3 linked regions of the Coturnix japonica genome follow. The main gene of each other region encodes a partner of the protein of the gene in region 3 in a complex. Links are inferred from orthologs where the notes say so. Each region holds a gene or a part of one and is shown on either strand. Other genes may lie near its edges.

What was found.
Region 1: MAP3K20 (region 3) and MAP2K3 share a complex: the UniProt entries of both Homo sapiens proteins name them as parts of the signaling complex. The link is inferred for Coturnix japonica from reciprocal best matches to the Homo sapiens genes MAP3K20 and MAP2K3.
Region 2: MAP3K20 (region 3) and AKAP13 share a complex: the UniProt entries of both Homo sapiens proteins name them as parts of the signaling complex. The link is inferred for Coturnix japonica from reciprocal best matches to the Homo sapiens genes MAP3K20 and AKAP13.

Annotation. Positions count from the first base shown.
Region 1 is NC_029529.1:4,541,227-4,547,100, reverse strand, and holds part of MAP2K3 (dual specificity mitogen-activated protein kinase kinase 3), read left to right. Parts: intron 1-1,085; coding exon 1,086-1,118; intron 1,119-1,345; coding exon 1,346-1,409; intron 1,410-2,906; coding exon 2,907-2,955; intron 2,956-4,900; coding exon 4,901-5,014; intron 5,015-5,235; coding exon 5,236-5,355; intron 5,356-5,791; coding exon 5,792-5,874. UniProt on the Homo sapiens protein: Dual specificity kinase. Is activated by cytokines and environmental stress in vivo. Catalyzes the concomitant phosphorylation of a threonine and a tyrosine residue in the MAP kinase p38.
Region 2 is NC_029525.1:12,662,982-12,669,393, forward strand, and holds the start of AKAP13 (A-kinase anchor protein 13), read right to left. Parts: upstream 3,896-6,412; 5' UTR 3,787-3,895; intron 1-3,786. UniProt on the Homo sapiens protein: Scaffold protein that plays an important role in assembling signaling complexes downstream of several types of G protein-coupled receptors.
Region 3 is NC_029522.1:15,480,477-15,486,350, reverse strand, and holds part of MAP3K20 (mitogen-activated protein kinase kinase kinase 20), read left to right. Parts: intron 1-1,787; coding exon 1,788-1,904; intron 1,905-3,470; coding exon 3,471-3,545; intron 3,546-4,568; coding exon 4,569-4,719; intron 4,720-5,874. UniProt on the Homo sapiens protein: Stress-activated component of a protein kinase signal transduction cascade that promotes programmed cell death in response to various stress, such as ribosomal stress, osmotic shock and ionizing radiation.

The sequences.
Region 1 (5,874 bases), on a different chromosome or scaffold from region 3:
CTGCTGGGGGTTACTATGGCAATTGGGGAGAGGGAGAGCAAACAGATGCTGTAAAATAGCAGCCAGGATGGGGGGCATTTCAGGGCTTCGTGTGAGGGCTGTGCTGTGTGAAGGGGGAAGGCAGATGGAGGGTATTTGGTTGGTGCTGCCCAGGGCGTGGGATGCATCGAGTGAGCAGGAGTTGCTGAGCCCAATGTGAGGTTGGTTTGGGGGCATCCAGCAGCTCTGCATCCACAGGATGACGCATGCACGCCCTTGTCTGCGTCTTGGGATGGGATTGACTGCTCTGCAGAGATCTCCCTCTCACTGGCTGCAGGAGGAAGCTGCAGCCCCATGTCCCAGCTCTGTGCTCTGCCCTGGCTGCAGGAAGGGAAGGTGCTGCTGAGCTAGAGGGCATCATCTTCCATTTGGCTGCACTTCGTGTTTGCACAGCCAGGTATTTTGCAGGGCAGGGCTATTTATAGCTCCCTGTCCCATCCCAGCTGTGTATGGGGTTGGGAGCAGCCTCATGGAGCAGGTGCTGAGACACACAGAGGACTTGCAGGGCTCTGAGTCTGGTGCTGCAAACCACAGCAACCCCTGTGGGGCAGCAGAGCAGGGCTCCAGCTCCGTTCTGTTTCAGTGCAAGGTCTCAACCTGTGCGTGCTTATCTAGTGTTGTGGCTCCTGCCCTGTGGTTCCCCTCAGTGGCACATGAGTTGTTCCCTCTCAGGGTCAGAGTTGCCAGTTGCTGTACATGAGGTTTGGTGGCCGTTGTCCTGATGGCACAGAGCAGGGCTGGCTGCTCCCCTGCCTCCTCCAGCATACCCACAGGATCTGTCTCTTCCTTGCCCAGCTGGGAGCGTGCTGAGAAATAAATCAGTGCTTCCCAAAGTGGGATCTGCTGGGAGCACATTGGGGTGCTGGCATTGCCCTGGGCAGAGCCAGTGGCATGAGGACATCTGGTGGCTGTGCAGGGCAGGGCTGGGTGCCAGCTGCCCCATGGCATGTTCCTGTGCTCCTGTTTGGCACCATAAGGGGTGTATGCTTTGTATCAGGTGCTTTGGAGTGTAAGCACTGACCTGATGTCTCCCTGTTCTCTTCCAGATTCCAAGGGATCCCTGGAGCCACACAAACCAGGTGAGTGCCCAACAGACAGAGCAGCTTCACCCTCTCTTCTAAATGCCAGCAATTGAAATCCCCCCAGAAAAGGAACCATTAATGGCCACAGGGGGTAAAGAGTGCTGTGGGGGTGGCTGGGAGCAGGGCAGGGTGTGAGAGCTGCAGAATTGTGCCAAAAGGAAGGAAAGTTTAATAAATAAATAAATAAAAATGCCCGTTGCTTATGTGTGCATCTTCTCTTGCAGCGAAGGGCAAGAAGAAGCTGAGGATAACATGTCCTCCCATCAAGCAGCCCCCTGTCAACACCACGTGAGTACCTGCTCCTGCAGCCAGTTCTAGGAGCTGTAGTGAGCTGTCTCAGGCCATGTGGGTGTAGAGGTGTTACCACGTCAGCTGGTTGTGGGGGTTTTTCAACTGGAGCTCTGGATTCTCAGTTATGAGAAGGAATTGCACATGTGCACACACACAGATTGTGTGTGCCTCTGGGAGCTGCCTGCAGGGCTAGGACCTGGAGCAGGGATGAAGGTGCTGGGTGCAGCAGAGCAGCCCCTGCCCCGTGCTTTGGCCTGTGTGTGAACCCACTGAGCTGCCCATGTTGGTGCAAGGAGGATGTAGAAGCCTTGTTGCTCCCCTCTGCTGTGCTTGGGGCTGGTGCCTGGCTGCATCTCAGGCACTGGGATTTCTCTGTGCCCTGTTTGCTGCTGCTTGGTATGTTGTTATGTTGGGGGCAAGGAGAGGACACAGGACCAGGGTGGTAGCGCTAGGTTTGACAAAAAGCAGATGGCTGAAATTCCTCCTCTATGATGCATCTCCACTGCTCAGCTCTGCTCTCTCTGGAGAGCAACAGAGCTCTGGGGGAGCAGTGAATCCCTCTCTGGGGGCACATCTCTGAATCCCCAGGCAGGGCAGATTGCCTGGAGCCGGGAGCTCCCTGTTGACAGCCTGGTGTGCAGACAGTCCTGCATGCAGAGCTCTCTCTCTCCATGGCTGTGGCTCTCTGGTGTCCGAGTTTCCCCTGGAGCAGATGTCAGCTGTGGTTTGCAAGGTGCTTGCATGCAACTCCTGTTCAGACTGGTTCCAGGCCCCCACCATTCCTTTTCTCTGCACTTTTCAAGGCACATTGCAAATATTTGCACAGTGCCAATGCTTTTGCTGTGAGCCTGAGCACTTCCTTGAAGCTGCTGCAGTGCTCTGATGGGAATGAAGATGCTGAGCAGATTGCCCAGTTCCCAACCTGACAATGTTGGAGGACTTGAGCACAGGAGCAGTGCAGAAGGGGCAGAAGTACAGTGTGTGCCTTAAACCCTGTACTGCCAATAGCAGGGAATGGGTAGCCATGAGGAGGGAAAAAAGCCATAAAGGAAGACTTGCCTACACGGTGTTGTGCAAAGTGTGACGCTGCTGGCTGCTCCGCATGCCAGGCTGCCTGGAACAGGCTGTCAAGAGTACACAAATGACTCAGTGCAGAGGAATTACCTGTTGTTTCCTAGGCGTGTTTGGGGCGACGTGGCCGTGCTGTTACAACACCTGCCTGTCAAAACACGACAGCTGCTCCTCTCCCCGCATGGGGTCGGTTTCGTAGCTTTGATGCAGCCTCACCTTGCTGCTTGCTGGGCTCCTGCTGGCTCTGTGGGTGGTGGTGGCTCGATGAAAGCCTTTGGGAGCATTTGGAGGGGGCTGGTGTGCACCCATAACAACGCACTGTGGGAAGCAGTGGCTGAAAGCACCTGGGGGCGCATGAAACCTGGCACTGCAGGAGGGGAGTTTTGAGGTTGTGCTTCCTTCTGATTCCTTCTCTCCTTTCAGGCCACCAAGGAACCTGGACTCCAGAACCTTCATCACCATTGGAGACAAAGTACGTGTCAATGTTCTTGTTTCCAAGTCTGCTTGCCTCCTGTATGGGAGTAGTATGGATCATGCTGCCTTGTCAGGTTGGATCTTTGCAATCCCAAGCATCCTTTAAGCCCCAGCGTGTCCTCCTGGTGCAGCCTCCTGGGATGCATCTTTGGAAGGGGATGAGGTGTCCTCAGGCAGGACCTTTCCACAGTTGGCTGCGGGTTTGTGCTGGTATTGAGAGCATCAGGGGGACAGGCATTTGTGGGGTGAGGCTTTGTCCTTAATGGGATCCTGCTCCTTTGGCAGCCTCCTCACTCTTACCCAGCCTGGCTGTGCCCTGCTGTCCCAGCCCACGTCCCCTTTGTCCCTATTGCTGCTGGCATTCCACCAGAAGCTGGGCTCAGAGCTTCTCTCCAAATCCTTTCCAAGCTGCCTGATGAAAAACGCTGCTAGAAATAGCTGCCGCCTCTCTTTTATTTCATTCTCTTGTTACGGGCTCTCCTGGGGCTGCAAGTGACCTAAAAATATGGTGTGGGGTCAGTCCCATCCTTGGTGCAAGGTTTTAGGTTTTGAGGGGAGAGAAGCAGCCTGGGCTGGGTGCAGGGATCAACCCTGTTGCTGGTGTTGTGTTCTAGCTGTTGTTGTGTGTACTGGTAGCTTGGGGAGAGGCTGTATGCAGCAGCTTGGGCACAGTGTGTGCAATGGGAGAGCTGCAGCCTGGGGGCAGCTCTGCAGGCTGTGCCCTCCCTGCTGTGCATTGTTCCGAGGGGTTCTGCATCTGTGCCCTGCCTGCCCTGAGATCTGCAGCTCAGGTTTGCTCTGGGTGCTTCAGAACAACACAACATGGGATGGAGGAGTGGTGGGTGTATGGGCAGCTTTGGGTTGTGAGATGAAGGGTGGCTATGGGTCCATTTGATCTGAAGCAGAGGGTAAGGGGTGCAGTGTGGGGTTTTGTTGGTTCATCATCTGGGCAGGGCTGTGCTGGTTCCTGGAGCGTGCTGGGAACTGCCAGCGTCTGGGGAAGCCTGTGGGTAAATGCCAGGAACACAAACACAATGCCCTGGAACAATTCTAGAACACGTGTCCTGAAAAGCACCACTAGGTCCTTCCTGGAGGCCCCTGCAGGAGCTGTAAGCCCACACTGTGCCTCTGCCCAGGGCAGTGAGGTGGGGGCTGCATGAACCCCCTGTAGCCCCATTGGATCTTCTATTGGATCTTCTGTCCCACCTGGGACAGGTTGCCACTTCCCTGTGCTATGCAGCACAGCTTCCTGCTGAGCTCAGCCCCTGACCTCCCTCAGCTTCCCACCATCCCAATCTTGTCCAAATTAGTAGGGCTGGTGGCTTGCATGGCCACTAGCCTTGTAGCCCTGGCTCTCAGCATGCTGCTGCCCTTCTGCTCTGGGTGCAGTGCTGCTTCTAATGCTGCATGGTGCTTTTCCCACCCTTTGCTGCTACTGGGTCAGTTTGGCATCCTGGTGTTATTTTTGTTCCCTGGAACCGGAGGGAAGCTGCAGGCTGGATGAAGTCCTGCCTGGTTGAAAGAAGGTCTGTAACTTATTAAGAGCGATGAATGCAGCCTCCAAAAATAGCCCATGTCTCACTCCAGCAGCATATGCCCTGCCCAGCAGAGCAGACAATTACAGGGCAATGTGTGTTGGGGGAAACTTGTCCGTGGGATGTGCAGAAACTTACTGGCAGAGAGGCACTGAGCCTTGGGCCTCTTCCAGTGACACTGTGCCCTTTGGTATATCTCAATCTCTGGCTTAAAAGTGGTATTCAATATGCCCCAAGGAGCCAAAAATACATGCATCTGTTCTAAGCACGGTGGGCTGCTGTGATCCTGTAGGTGCAGTGGTTTGGGCATGCTCTGTGTGGCTGAAGTGCAAGCAGTGAACTTTGCCTTTACAGTAAATGTGCTCCAGCCTGATTTTTGTTTGACTGTTATTATCCATTTCCTTACAGAACTTCGAGGTGGAAGCTGATGACCTGGTGACTATTTCAGAGCTGGGCCGGGGAGCTTATGGTGTGGTGGAGAAAGTGAGGCATGCTCAGAGTGGCACCATCATGGCCGTGAAGGTGAGAACGGCTTCCTCCTGGTGGGGCAGAATGGGGACAGAGATGGAGGCTTGTTGGATTTGGCAGCCTCCTGTGTCCCCTTGCAGCCCAATGTGGCACTTAGGTGGTGTCATTCATTATGGTGCTGTTTGTAAGAGGTCATCTGGGCATCTCTGGGGTGATGCGTTGGCTACAGAACTCCACCTACATCAAAACCTTTTTTTTTCCTTAATATTTCTCAGAGGATTCGTGCCACAGTGAACACTCAGGAGCAGAAGAGGCTGTTGATGGACTTGGATATCTCCATGAGGACGGTTGACTGCTTCTACACCGTCACTTTCTATGGAGCCCTATTCCGAGAGGTGAGGGGCTCTTGTTGCACAGCAACTTGGGTCTGCGCTTGTCCTCTGAATGCACAAAACTGTCTCAAACCACCTTTGTTTCCTACAACCAAAGTGGGCTGGTTGAGGTGGTGCAAGGCCCAGCTGTTGCAGGAGGCAGCAGGTCCCTTTCCATGCTGCAGCAGCAGGTGCCCAAGCATGCTGGCAGTGGGCTGGGCTGGATTTCAAGTAGGGCACTCTTGGAAGTGGGTGTTGGAAGTGCTATTGGTGGCACTCCAACATGAGTGCCCATTGCTGTCAGGTGCATGTTGGTATGTGGTTGGCAGCACTTCCACCACAGGGACATTGGATTGCCCTGGGTGGAAGTGCAGTGTCCATCTGTCTGCCCTCACTGTGTCATTTGGCTCCTGTGGGTGGTTTGGAGCACTCCCTATAGCTACTTTCTTTCCACCTGCAGGGTGATGTGTGGATCTGCATGGAGCTCATGGATACTTCCTTGGATAAATTCTACAAGAAAGTACTGGAGAAGAAGAAAACAAT
Region 2 (6,412 bases), on a different chromosome or scaffold from region 3:
CAACAGCTTAATAACTGCATGCAGAGCCTCGCTGGAACGAAAGCTAACAGAGCGTCACTGATTTAATTGACTGATGATTTAATAAAACGCTCTGGATATAGATTAACTTGCTTTGCTTAATGTAGCTTGGCTTCCTGGTGGCAGCAATGGACCCATGCTCTTAATGGACCAAAGCCCAGCCTGCAGCACAGGACCATGGTTTTTGGGGCTCCCACCTTACCACCCAGACCCTGGAAGGAGATCAAGCCATGTGGGGTAAACCAAAGCAGCAACATCCCCCGGGCCCAGCAGAGGAAGGCAGCAATCACTCTCAGCACATACATCTGGTTTCTTCACTGCTATTGCTAGGTATAAAAACCACCACAAAACTCAAATCACTGTGGTTATCAACCCTACGCTCCTCATGCCCAATTTGAAAGAAACAAAGACGCTGTAGAAGTTGAAACAACAGAGAGTAAAAGGATTATTTACTAGCTCTAATTATACAAACTGATCTCATCCTCTTGTCATAAGCCTCTTTCCTGTGTCCGGAATCTATTTGTGTATCATAAAGACCAGTCTTCTGTAAATGTACAAGGGTCATCAGCACAGGGCCATTAATTTCACATATTACAATACATACATATTGTCAACCAATCCACTTGTAACAAGATATAACTGCCCTCACTTGTCAATTGGTACTTTAAAGTATTACTAATGGCAAACAGTAATTAAGATACCAATTCCTAAAACCCAAGCAGCGTTTTTAAAGTAGCTACCACGCAGCTGTAATAAAATTAAAAGCAGAGGCTCCATCTTCAGCTCAAGTAGCTACATCCTAATAAAGTTAAGGACTAACAGTCAACTTGAATTATAGTGCAGCACGTACGTAAAAGCACATGTATGTTTATACTCAAATCAAGTCCTCCAACAGGTTCTGGGGCAGCTGTCTCACGTAGGCATGAAACATTTATCTCAGGCTCAAGTATTAACCGCCAGAAATCCTTAGCAGACCTTCTAGGTGCCTCTTCAAATGATAACTTCTAATACACTGCATAGCTTGAATACACACGATGGGAGTAAATTCTAGGGAAGTCCTCAAAGATAAAACACTTTGTTTGTAAAAGCAATTATTGACTTTAGATACTTAGGGGAACTTCTCAAGATGCAGCAGTGTTCAAAGGACAAGTACATTCAGCATTCTCTGCAGAAACAGAGGCCATCCCAAAGCTGAGTGCTCAAAATAGAAGGAACAGGACTACAGTTATCTTTGAAATATGAATAGATATGCTATGCAGCACCTATAGCGCCTCCAGATGCACAAAAGCCAGCTGAAAGACAGCAGGAAGGGAAAGCAAAATTAGAAGTTGTTTTCTATAAGTAATCTGTTCCTTTCAACTCAGGCAACCATAGGAAAAAACATCCTAGTGATTCACGTACTTTATTTAGGTAGACACAGAATCAGCTGGTTTTACTGGAGCATCACATCTGAGCCAAACTCAACACTGACCCATTCTCAACAACTAATTTAGTCCTTTAGTACTCATAGCCAGGGAGAGAAAGTTAGACATAATATTAAGTGCACAGCATCCATGGATGGTACCACAAAAAGCAAAAAACAAGGCAACAAAGTATCACATCTCTAAAGCAGAGATAAGAAAATACACATTGAAATCTGAAAATTAAATTAAAAACAAAATCAAACTCTAAAAGGCACAAATTCTACTCAATATCACCACCTCATCCATCCCCTTCATCCAATCCCTTTAGCAACCTGCCCTTAAGCAATAAAGCAAGTTTTGCAAACAGACATCCAGCTTTGCACCTGAAAACATTGCTTCCAGCAGCCCTCACAAAACAAGCTTTCAGGTTGGCCCCCTTAGGAGCCCAATGGGTTAATGCCCACAGGTTGCAGCCACACCAGTAAATCATTTATTACCCCAGCTCAGGGACAAGCAGCTACGCAGAACCAAGAGCCCACGCTGTGCAGCTGTTCATCAGCCAGGCATTTCTGCACCATTATAACACGGGATTAAATTCAGAGAGTAGAAATGCATCCCTTTATTATTAGTATTTCTTGTTTGCTTGTTGTTTTTTTTCTTATTTGTTTTTCATCAAGTTATGCAGCTATTTTAAATGTTACAGAATTCATTAACATTTAGTTCATTAAGGAGTAACCACGAATGAAATGAAGGGATCATCATTACAAGCACAGGTAGGGAAATACTGGACCAGCAGGCAAAAAGAGAGAAAGCTTTGAAGAATAAGGAAAGCTGTTCCTAAACTCAAGTTTAGTCTTTTTTCCAGACCTATCAGAGAACACACACCTGGAAGCAGCCATGGTGCAGATGTTGGTTCTGAGGGCCAGGTGAGCAGCACTTGCTGCCTGCAGATGGAAACCTCTGCAGCCGGCACTGCTCACTGCATGCTCCTGTACTCCAGAATTAACAGGAAGTTCAGAAACTGCTAGGAAGGGTGATGAGACACTGGAACAGACACTGGAACATCTTGCCCAGAGCTGTAGGTGCCCCATCGATGGTGGCCAGACTGGATGAAGCCCTGGACAGCCTGATCTGGTGGCAAATCAAACAGCAAATTGCTTTTCTTCTACAGAAGCTCATGTAGTGCATTCCTCTAGCCATGCACAGCACATCTAGCTAACGGTCTGAGCTCATGATGGATGCAGAGACCAGCCCTCTGCAAGCCACATCCTCAAAGGAATGCTTTCCTAATAAAGAAGGTTTCATTCATAATTTCACTCATAATTCTAAGACTTATTATTATTTTTCTTTCTCAAACTCTGCAAATAGGTACAACGCCCCTACCCAACCCATAAGAAAAGGAAACCAAAATAATCACAACAAATACTTGTCTCCCAAGCACAGCAACAGTTTACTATTAATCCACCCAGCTGTTGCTACAGCACTGCCAAATGATTTGGGCCCAGCACTGTTAACCACACTGCTTTGCACCAGTCTTCTTGGGCACAGCCATGGAAAATGTGAGACGCTGCAGAAGGTAAACAGGTTACACACAAAAGAGGAGAAAACAGCCCTCTGACAGAGCCCAAGCTCTGCAAGCACCCGTTTCCAAAGAAGACTCCCACAGTTTCTTTGCTTTAGGCTAACAGTTTTTTTTCCAACCTAAGTATTTTTGGAGAAAATGAGTATAAATGCATGAAACACAACATCTCCGAACAGTCCTACAGTAGCTACATGTCATCTTGCAAGTCAGATCCATCCCCTGATCTGGTTCACCACCACTGAGAGGTTATGAGAACTGAAAATACAACACTGAACGAACACCTGGAGCACTGCAGGACAGGCCCCCATCAGGCCCACAAATAGCCATGGTCCCTGGGCAGGAGCCCTGTGTGCCCCAACTCCTATACCCAGCAACTTCTGAAGAAACCCTCGGGCTGAGAACACCACAACCACCTGTCTACCCCCAGGGACAAGTGCACAGTGCCTTAAAATAATAGGGAAGAGCAGCTGGTGCCTAAAGTGCTATAGACTGTTTCACACCATGGCATACGCTCAATGGAACAATAAGAGCATGTACAACTGCACTATGAATCATGCTGCGAGTTCACTTGTGAGAGATAAAGTCTCAAATGTAATTCTTCACCAGCACCTTCAGCACTCTTCACACCATTCTATTTTCCTTTTGTCAAATTTGCTTATCACATACTTAGATATCCACATCTGCTCTTGCCATCCAGCAGGTAAGCCAGGCAAACCCATCCCCCAGAACAATTTGCCTCAGCATTCACTTGTACCCAAGAGCTGTCAAAACAAGTGACCTTACTTGAACTGCATGAAGCAGTACCAATAGTCCAAGATGTCCTTCCAGGCCTTCCCCCAGTGAGCATAGAGCAGCAGAGCAGGACTCAAGGTTCAGCTCCTGCAAGAGAAGAAGGAGGAGTCACCGGGATGCAACAAGGCCTGTACTGGGAACATACACCTGCCCCATACCTGGGGTATGGAAACCTTCCACCAACCTATGTCTTGTGGGCAGATAGGAGACAGCAGCCTGCTCCCAGGATTCTGTGAAGGAAGCATGAAACCCATCTGTGGGACTGAGCTTGATCCTGCCCTGTCCCCCTCCACAGTACAGTTGGATTGGTATCTGTCACGCTTAACTCGAAGATGAAATCCTGCAAATTCATCCCCCTACACCTATCTCAACCACTTCAAAGTAGTCGGGAACCCTCATTATCACAAGGCATGTTGGAGAAGACAAAAGCACCCAACACAAGTTGGTGGCCAGTGAGAATCTGTAGATGAAGCCCATAATCTACCAGCAAGCCTCTGCCAAACCCTGATGGGGAACCATGCACTTCTCCACAGGCAGATTTCCTTCCCCAGCCCTAGGGGTAAGCCTGCTCTATGGAGCACAACAGGAAAGAACAGTTAAAATAACCGAATGGCAAGTCAAGAAAGAATACAGGCTGTGATTTTGTGTATTAAATGTTGCGTGAGAGATTGTATGGCCTAAATGACAGTCACTGGGGCACCTCTGGCCATCATTTCATTACCACACCAGTAGTGTTTGTGGGTAGGCACACAGCACCCAATGCAAGCTCAATGCATCGCCTGCTCCTATACTGTTTAGTTGGGAAAATGCTTGTAATGAGGGATCTCACACATCCTGATCCAATCTGCACAGCTCAAAGCACAATTACAAGCAGGAACAATGGCAAAGCTTGCTAGCAGCTGGAAAATCAATTGTGCTCCATGAATTGGCTGGGGAAGGTAAAAGCTGAGAGACAGAGCATTGCAAAACAAGCCTTCATCCAACCACAAAGACACAGCAGAACCTGAACTCTGCCACACCAGTTGTGCACAAGGTTTTTTGAGAGGGCTGTTACTAAAACTTCCCTTAATTCTGCTGGTGGGCTCCTGCTGAGGGATAGGGACAGCACTTTGTGAGGCACTATGGGGCACTGAAGGCAGAAAAGGGTTATTTTTCCATAGGCACTTCAGCACAGACCATTTCAAATTGGAAAAGGGAAAAAAAGCTTCCCCTTGTTCCTCTTGAAGCAGTGAGGAAATGAGGGAAAAATAAGAAGTCCATGACTCCTTATTCTGTTGTCACATTTCTAAATTACATCTCCATGGCAAAGTACTGAGCTGAAAGAACTACCTGAACTCTCCAGTACCAGGCAGAGGAAGCAAACGTCCTTTGGATTCATTAACCAGTAAAAACCTCCCTCACAGTCAGAAGCAAACAGACTGGAACTTCCCTCCAGCATTCCTGCAGAGCTGCTTTCAGGACTGCATGTTAAAGAGTGGTTACAGTTTGATAAGGCAACGATTAACTACATTAAGTAAGAAACATTAACCCAAGGCTCCTGGTAGTGATCCCACGTTGATCGGAGAGAGTGATGATCAGCAGCTCTCTCCAAGGCATACACTACAACAGTGCAGTGGTTTCACTTGTTTGTGAGACTGATAACTTGGCTTTCAATACCACGCAGAGCTTCAGCGAGCTTTACTGCTACTCCTATAAGCTGGCAAGCATTACGGGCAGAGATAACACTGGTAAATACACAGTGAGTGTGCAGTGAATCACTGCAGATTTCTCATCATACCCATTAAGGAATGAGGGTGTGTATATGGAGGCACACATGCAAAACTCACTAGGATGTTTATGACTTGGAAAGTATTAGCAAGTGGAGAAAATCAACCAGCTTTGCAAAAAGACATTACTCTCCTGGGGCTTTTTGTTTGAGTTTATTCTGGAGGAGTTTTCAGCTTAGCCCAAGAAGGTGCAAAGAATATTAAGAAGTCTTATATTTCTATTTCTGTATGCAAAAAGTCTGCACGTTCAGTAAAGGTGTCCAAATCAAGGAATTAACCACCCAAAGGGTTCTCCTTTCCTCATGGAGATGCATCAAGATAACTCCTGAATGTATAAGTAGACTCTTTTTAGAAGGGTTTCTCCATATGGATTTCCCCTCATCCTCTACTGGGAAGGAATATCCCAGCACTGGCGAACACAGACATCACCTCTCTTATATATAATCTTTAAAAAATATATACACTTTAAAAAAATAAAACAATTAAGTCTTATAGCTGTGTTCATATTGCTTAACAAGGAAGAAAACGCATAAATCTCTTCCACGTCATTACAGCAAAGTAATGACATGCAGCCAATAAAGGGGTTTGCCCATGGCCACTCTGCCAGGCAGCAACAGATCTCAGTTCAAGCAGATCTTAAGCCAAATGACTTATGGATGATCTGCATCTTTATGGGCAAAGGAGCCAAGCAGCACAAGGTACTCACTACACATTCATAAATGCAGTGAACATTAGGGACTGTAAACACAGCAAGAAAGAGAGTTATCTGTGTCTAAAACACATTTAGGAGAAGCCAGCTGAGGAGTGGAGAGCTGAAAGGTGGGCAGTGGTCAGCAAGGCCCTCCTGAAGG
Region 3 (5,874 bases):
GCAGCAGGAGCATGGGCTGTGAGAGGCAAGGAGGGGTCAAAAGCAACTTCCTGCACTGTTGCAGTTCAGTCACACAGCATGAACAGTCCTCGGCTGACAGCCTGTGCCAGGTCATGCTGCACCCACCCAAGAAGAGGCAGCCCACAGCACAAAGCAACAGGATAGAAAAAGGCCATGCAGTGTTATGCAGTCTGTAGTTAGGAGATGGAGGCACGGAGTGACTTTTGTGTCTTCGTGGGTCATTCAGGAAAATGATGGCAAGTCTGGAAGCTGAGCTCAGTGCATGCGAACCCCACACAAGTGTCCTGAGTGCCAGGATATGGTGGTGCTAAAACCAACTCCCATGTCCACTCTCCTCATAAAAATCATGCGCTTTCAGTGGGGACAGATGGACACACTGGGCCAAATGGTTTCTTAAGCGTCATTTGTTGCCACGATTTGGAAATGATTATACTCTGGTTTTCTTTTATCTTGGAATTGCCAATTCAATCCCTGATTGAAAGCTTTGAGACTTCTGAGGGCTGAGCTCCTGTGTTACATTTATGAGAGATGCACGTGCAAACACTAGCAGATAATCGCATGTACGGATGGTTATTTCTTAGGCTGCTGTACATTTGTGTGTGCAAATAACTGCTTATGCCAGCCCTTGGCCCTGAGCGGCCATCTGTGTTCCTGTTGAAAATTCTTGCATTTCTGAGCAGCCCTGAGGAGATGACTGCTTCCTGCGAATACCAAGACCGCAGCTGCCTGGCCATCGGCATGTAGGGACCCTCCTGACCCTCGGGCACACCTGGAGGGGCTCCTCCTCTGCCACGGGCAGTCCCCATCCAGGCTGCACACAGATAGATATGCCCTGCTTGGTGTCAACCCCCTTGTCCCTCAGGGAACAGACTTCTGGAGGAGCTCAGTGCACTGGACAGCATCAAATCCCCAAATCACCTGCTATGGTCTGCTGCACATCTGCTGTCCCCTGCAGGAGCCTCCCTGTTCATTGGCAGGGACACTGGTCCCAGTGCTCAACCTACCTGATATGTCCTGCAGGATGCAGCCAGAGCCATCAGCCTCTTGCAGGCTCACACCCATGCAAGGTGCCAGTGCTATGTTCATCCCATGGGATCATTCAAAGATACCTTTCACTGCTTTGGTTATTAGACTTGCTGTTTCAAAGCTGAGCTCCCTTAAAATTACTAGTGCTACTGGAGGTGAGAGGAGCTGAGGATGCTCAGTGCCTCACTGGACGCTCAGGATCTGAAGGAATTGAGCTGCATTAACCAGCTCATCCTCCTGCCCATTATTAGAGCAACTGTCCTGAAAGTGTTGCACACACCCTCTGGTCCTTAGTTCCCAGGTTCACCAGGAAGATGCCCTGAGGGCTGGCTGCCAGCTCTGGCTGTGGCTCCAGGTGATGGCTTCCATGGGTTGTGCCTCACCATCACTGCTCATATGGGCAGGCTGTGCTGCTGGGTGAACTGCTGCCATCCTGGGGCCCTCCAGGGGACCACTGAGGACAGTCAGACCTGCCAAGGTGGCTGCTGTCTCTCAGAGGCACCTGAGCAGGAAGCGAGCCAGAAAACGCAAGGGATTTCTATTAACCACACTCATTGTAAAACGCATATACTAAAGCATGTATATGTTCCTTGCCTTCATCGTCGTTGCTGGTTTTAGTTTTTTCCACTATACAGTGAGGGCTAGGCTGGGTTTGGCTAGTCTTTGGTTTTTTATATTTTGATTTCGATTTTTTTGTATTCTAACAGTCCAGCATTCTTTTTTATTATTATTATTCATAGGACTGTAAATGGAAAATGTACATGGAGATGGACGGGGATGAAATTGCAATAACCTACATAAAAGATGTGACATTCAACACTAACCTACCTGATGTAGAGATTTTAAAGATGACAAAGGTATTTACAGCCTTAAAGCTTTCACGAATTCACAGATCTCAAACAAAGACATTAAAATACCACAGCAGTCGACTTTTGTGCTTGCAGAAGCTCAGTCTCTTGACAGCTTTTAAATAAAATGCACATTTTAAACAGATGTGTATCATAATAAGAGTTAGCTATTTTGGTTCTCTTTTAAGCTGACAATAATGTTACCAGTAGAAAAACAAGAAAAGAAACTAATTTATATTTTCTAGTTTTAATTCCATGTTATAGCATCTGAATTTATTACCCCTTTTAAAGATGAGAATGTTAAAAACGTATGTTCCTTTTCAGGAGGAGAAAGTGATTTAAATGTTCCAATTTGAAACTTCATGTGATTTGTCTGAGCTTTTTTTTTTTCTCTCTCTCTTTTTTTTTTTTTTTTTTTTTTTTTTTTAGGGGGGGGGGGGGGGGGGGGGGAGGTTGGGGCATGGTTTTAGAACTTTTACATGCTTTTAAAACTCCCTTTTTCATGCAGATATGGGTTCCAAACACTGAAACCCTCAACATGTTGATCACGGGCATACAGCCCTGCACATCTGCAATTCAGTGCCACTGGGCATTTACCCTATTTGAGTAAACCTGCCTGTAGGCATTTACCAGCCAGCACTTAGACTGCTTTTACCATAAGCAACAGAAGGTTTGTTAAAGCACAGAATGCACTGGACATTCTGTTTGCTGTTATTTTAATTGATTGTTTTTATTAATGAGCTCTACTTAATAGCAGTTAATATCATAAATGAAAAAATACACATTTTTATTACCAGATAGAATGCTTCTCTAATGTGCACCGATTTAAATATAAAACAGAAACAAAACAAAACAACAAAAAAAACCCTCCTGAGTGCCTTTAACTGTGGATTTTTGTTGCAAAATTATGGCTGTTTTGTTTTTTTTTTTTCCTGAAGGAAAAACTGGAAGTCATACTTTCAACAGAATATTAGGGAAAATTTGTCTTAGACAGAAAGAATTCTTGTATTTAATGTCATAGGCATTCTAAGACTATTGTTGCAGATAAGGATTTCTTCACTGTTGTAATTCTAATGTTGTTACTATGTCATTGCAAAATAGCTTTCTGTTTCATGTCCAGAAATTCCATCTTCCATTAAAAAAAAAAAAAAAAAGAAAAAAGAAAATGGAGAAAGAGAAAGAAAAAAAGAAGAAAATGTTTTTTTTTTTTTTAACTTTAAGTTAAATGTCATAGTTTCAGATACAGTAGCATTAGCACTCACTTCAGGATTTGATTATCTGTCAGGGACTGTCTCCAGGAATCTTTATTCCATGTGTGTAAAATTGAAGAAGGGCAATGCCCCCATGAAAATATTCCATGCTGTCATACCTACAGTTATATATAGAAATATCTGTTTCATTCTGTAAACAAGGAGGTAAATAATTTCAGAGTATGTTTGTCCCATAACATTTTTAGATGCTTGCAATATGGAAAAGGGTGAGAAAAGGCACAAGTTACAAAGTACTTTTAGGGTGTTTCAGGGACAAGTCAGGAGATGATGAGCACCTCATAAATCACCGCTGTGTTCTTTTCAGCCACCGTTTGTTATGGAGAAGTGGATTGTGGGGATCGAAGAACACCAGTCTGTAGAATGCATTGTTACATATGAGGTAAGTGCTAAGAAACAACATGTTTATCTGAGATAACCTGTATGGGAGCTGTGGCAATAGCATCCCCACAGCTCTGCTATGTCCTGTAATCAAGTCTCAGCACCCTGTAATTAATTGTGAAATCTAAAGTTTGGAGCAAAAGCTGAATGAGATGTACAAAGTCTGTGTCCTCAGGCAGCTGCCTGGGATGGCTCTTTTTCTCAAGGACAAAAATTCCTTTTACTTGAAGTGTAACAGCCAGTGTGCTCACATTTGGTGGCTGTGGGTTTTTTTACCTTTTCAGCGAAGTGCTAATTAGGAGAGCTGAGGAGCAACAGGAGAAGAAAGAGAATGAAAAGTCAAAAGTAAAAGAGTAAAACCAAATTTCAAAGACAATTCAGCCACAATTTAAAAAGAACTTGTGGTTGCTTACAGAAGTGTTTTACGAAGAGTGATGCTGTGCTTCACAGTGAGGCTACCAGCTCTGTCCTGGGCAAGGAATCAAGCACTGATGGAGTGATGAGGAAATATCTTCCACCTTTTTTGGGTCTGTCTCAGAAGTAAAGAACAAGAGTTTTCTGTTGCTCCAAGTTTCTTTCAGCCTTTCAGAATTGCAGGCAGCATGGCTCCTCCAAAGGAAGAGATTGATACTCCAAGAAAGCAAATGTGGAGTGTTCTCCTGCAAAAATACCTACTTCTTTTAGCAGAAGGCACTGTCTATCTGGTGTTCACATTATAAGACAAGTAGAATATTCTTTGTATTTGTAGAATAAGGCCTTCAGATCTCTCCTCCATGTGGTACATGAATTGGAACACTTACTCACTGCCACATTTTTAGCATAATCATAAAATATCAGCCAAAATTATCTAGTCTAAAAATACATGAGAACTGGCTAAGTGGTTCTGCAAAACAAACTGTATTCGGAGTGCTGCTGCCACACAGGCACAAGTGGAAGTTCCCGGGCAGGAGAGCTTAGTGGGTTGTGTGTTGCTATGTCCTCACATGCCTTGTGTCCTTATGTGTGTTGTGTCCTTCCTGAGCAGAGCGACGTTCGAGCTCCCAAATCCACCAGGCATGTCCAAGCTATCTGCTGGAGCAAGGTGAAAGCACAGGATGAGGTCAAGGCAGTACAGCTTATGATACAGACCTCACTCCCCAACTCAGAGGGGCACTCACGGAGCAGGTCTGACTCAAGTAAGTTGCTACACATGAACTGCCTACCTCTGTTGCTGGTGTGGGCAAAGCATTTATGTGGAGAACAGCAAAAAGACAACACTATTATTCTCATCCAACAACAGAGCACCATCTTGCAGCTTCAGCTGGCATTGTGGTCCCTATGACATCTTCATAGGCACATGCAGGAGCACCCTGGCATGTATGACTTAGCTTAAAGGCTAAAAGTTAGGTAGTGACACATTTTATATCAAAGTGTGATTTAAGGAGGGGTGGCCTGTGTGCTTCTATATTAAGTATGCTGGGAACAGTCCATGGCAATTAGCTGCAAATGTGTGGTGTTTCATTTGCAGTAGCATATCAGTAGCTCAGATCCTTCTGCTCCAAAACCCCCAGGGCTATATATCTTCCAGTATTGAGCAGGACCATAAAGCTGCACCAGCGCAGGGCTGACACCATGTGTCTGAGTCCACCAGCAAGGCTGGACTTGTCAGCAAGAATGTGGTCGTATGGCAGTGCATCTAATCAGCTTTGGGACTGGACTGAGGGCATGGGCAGGATGCTGTAATTATCTGTGTAACTGTGCCATAGAGGAAGATTTGTTTCTCAACCAGGATTTCAGGAAGGTATCTGCCGAGAAAGGAGACAATCTCTCACGTCTCTTCCCTCCATCTGTTGGGAAATGTGGTTTTCCACAGTCCTTTTGGGAACCTGGGAAGCCAGTGCTTTCAGTAGGTTTTTATGCTGACTTTCTCTCCTTGCAATCCAAACTCACCAAAAGTGTTGTGGTCAGCTCTTTCCTCCTGCTGTTGGCTACCCAGTGTGCAGACAGATTTGCACAAATGTCTAAGATATGAGCAGACCCAAAACGTGTTCCTGATGGCTGCAAAGAGGAGTGGAAGTCCTCTTGAACTCTTCTTCCACAGCTCAGTCTGCCCATTCTGGTCTGCCCTGATTCCAGTTCTGGCTTCCCCTGGAACAGGGCTTTGGAAAAGGTTCTTTGCATCTTAAAGAAGTGACACTTTTTGTACAGGTGTTTGTTAGTCAAAGTGGTTTTTTTTTGTTTGTTTGTTTTGTTGTTTTTTTTTCTGATTCAGTACACAGTAGTGCTGTAGAAATATGTGGGCTGGAACAAGATAGCAGTCATTGGAGAGTGAGTTTCCCCAATCACATGGC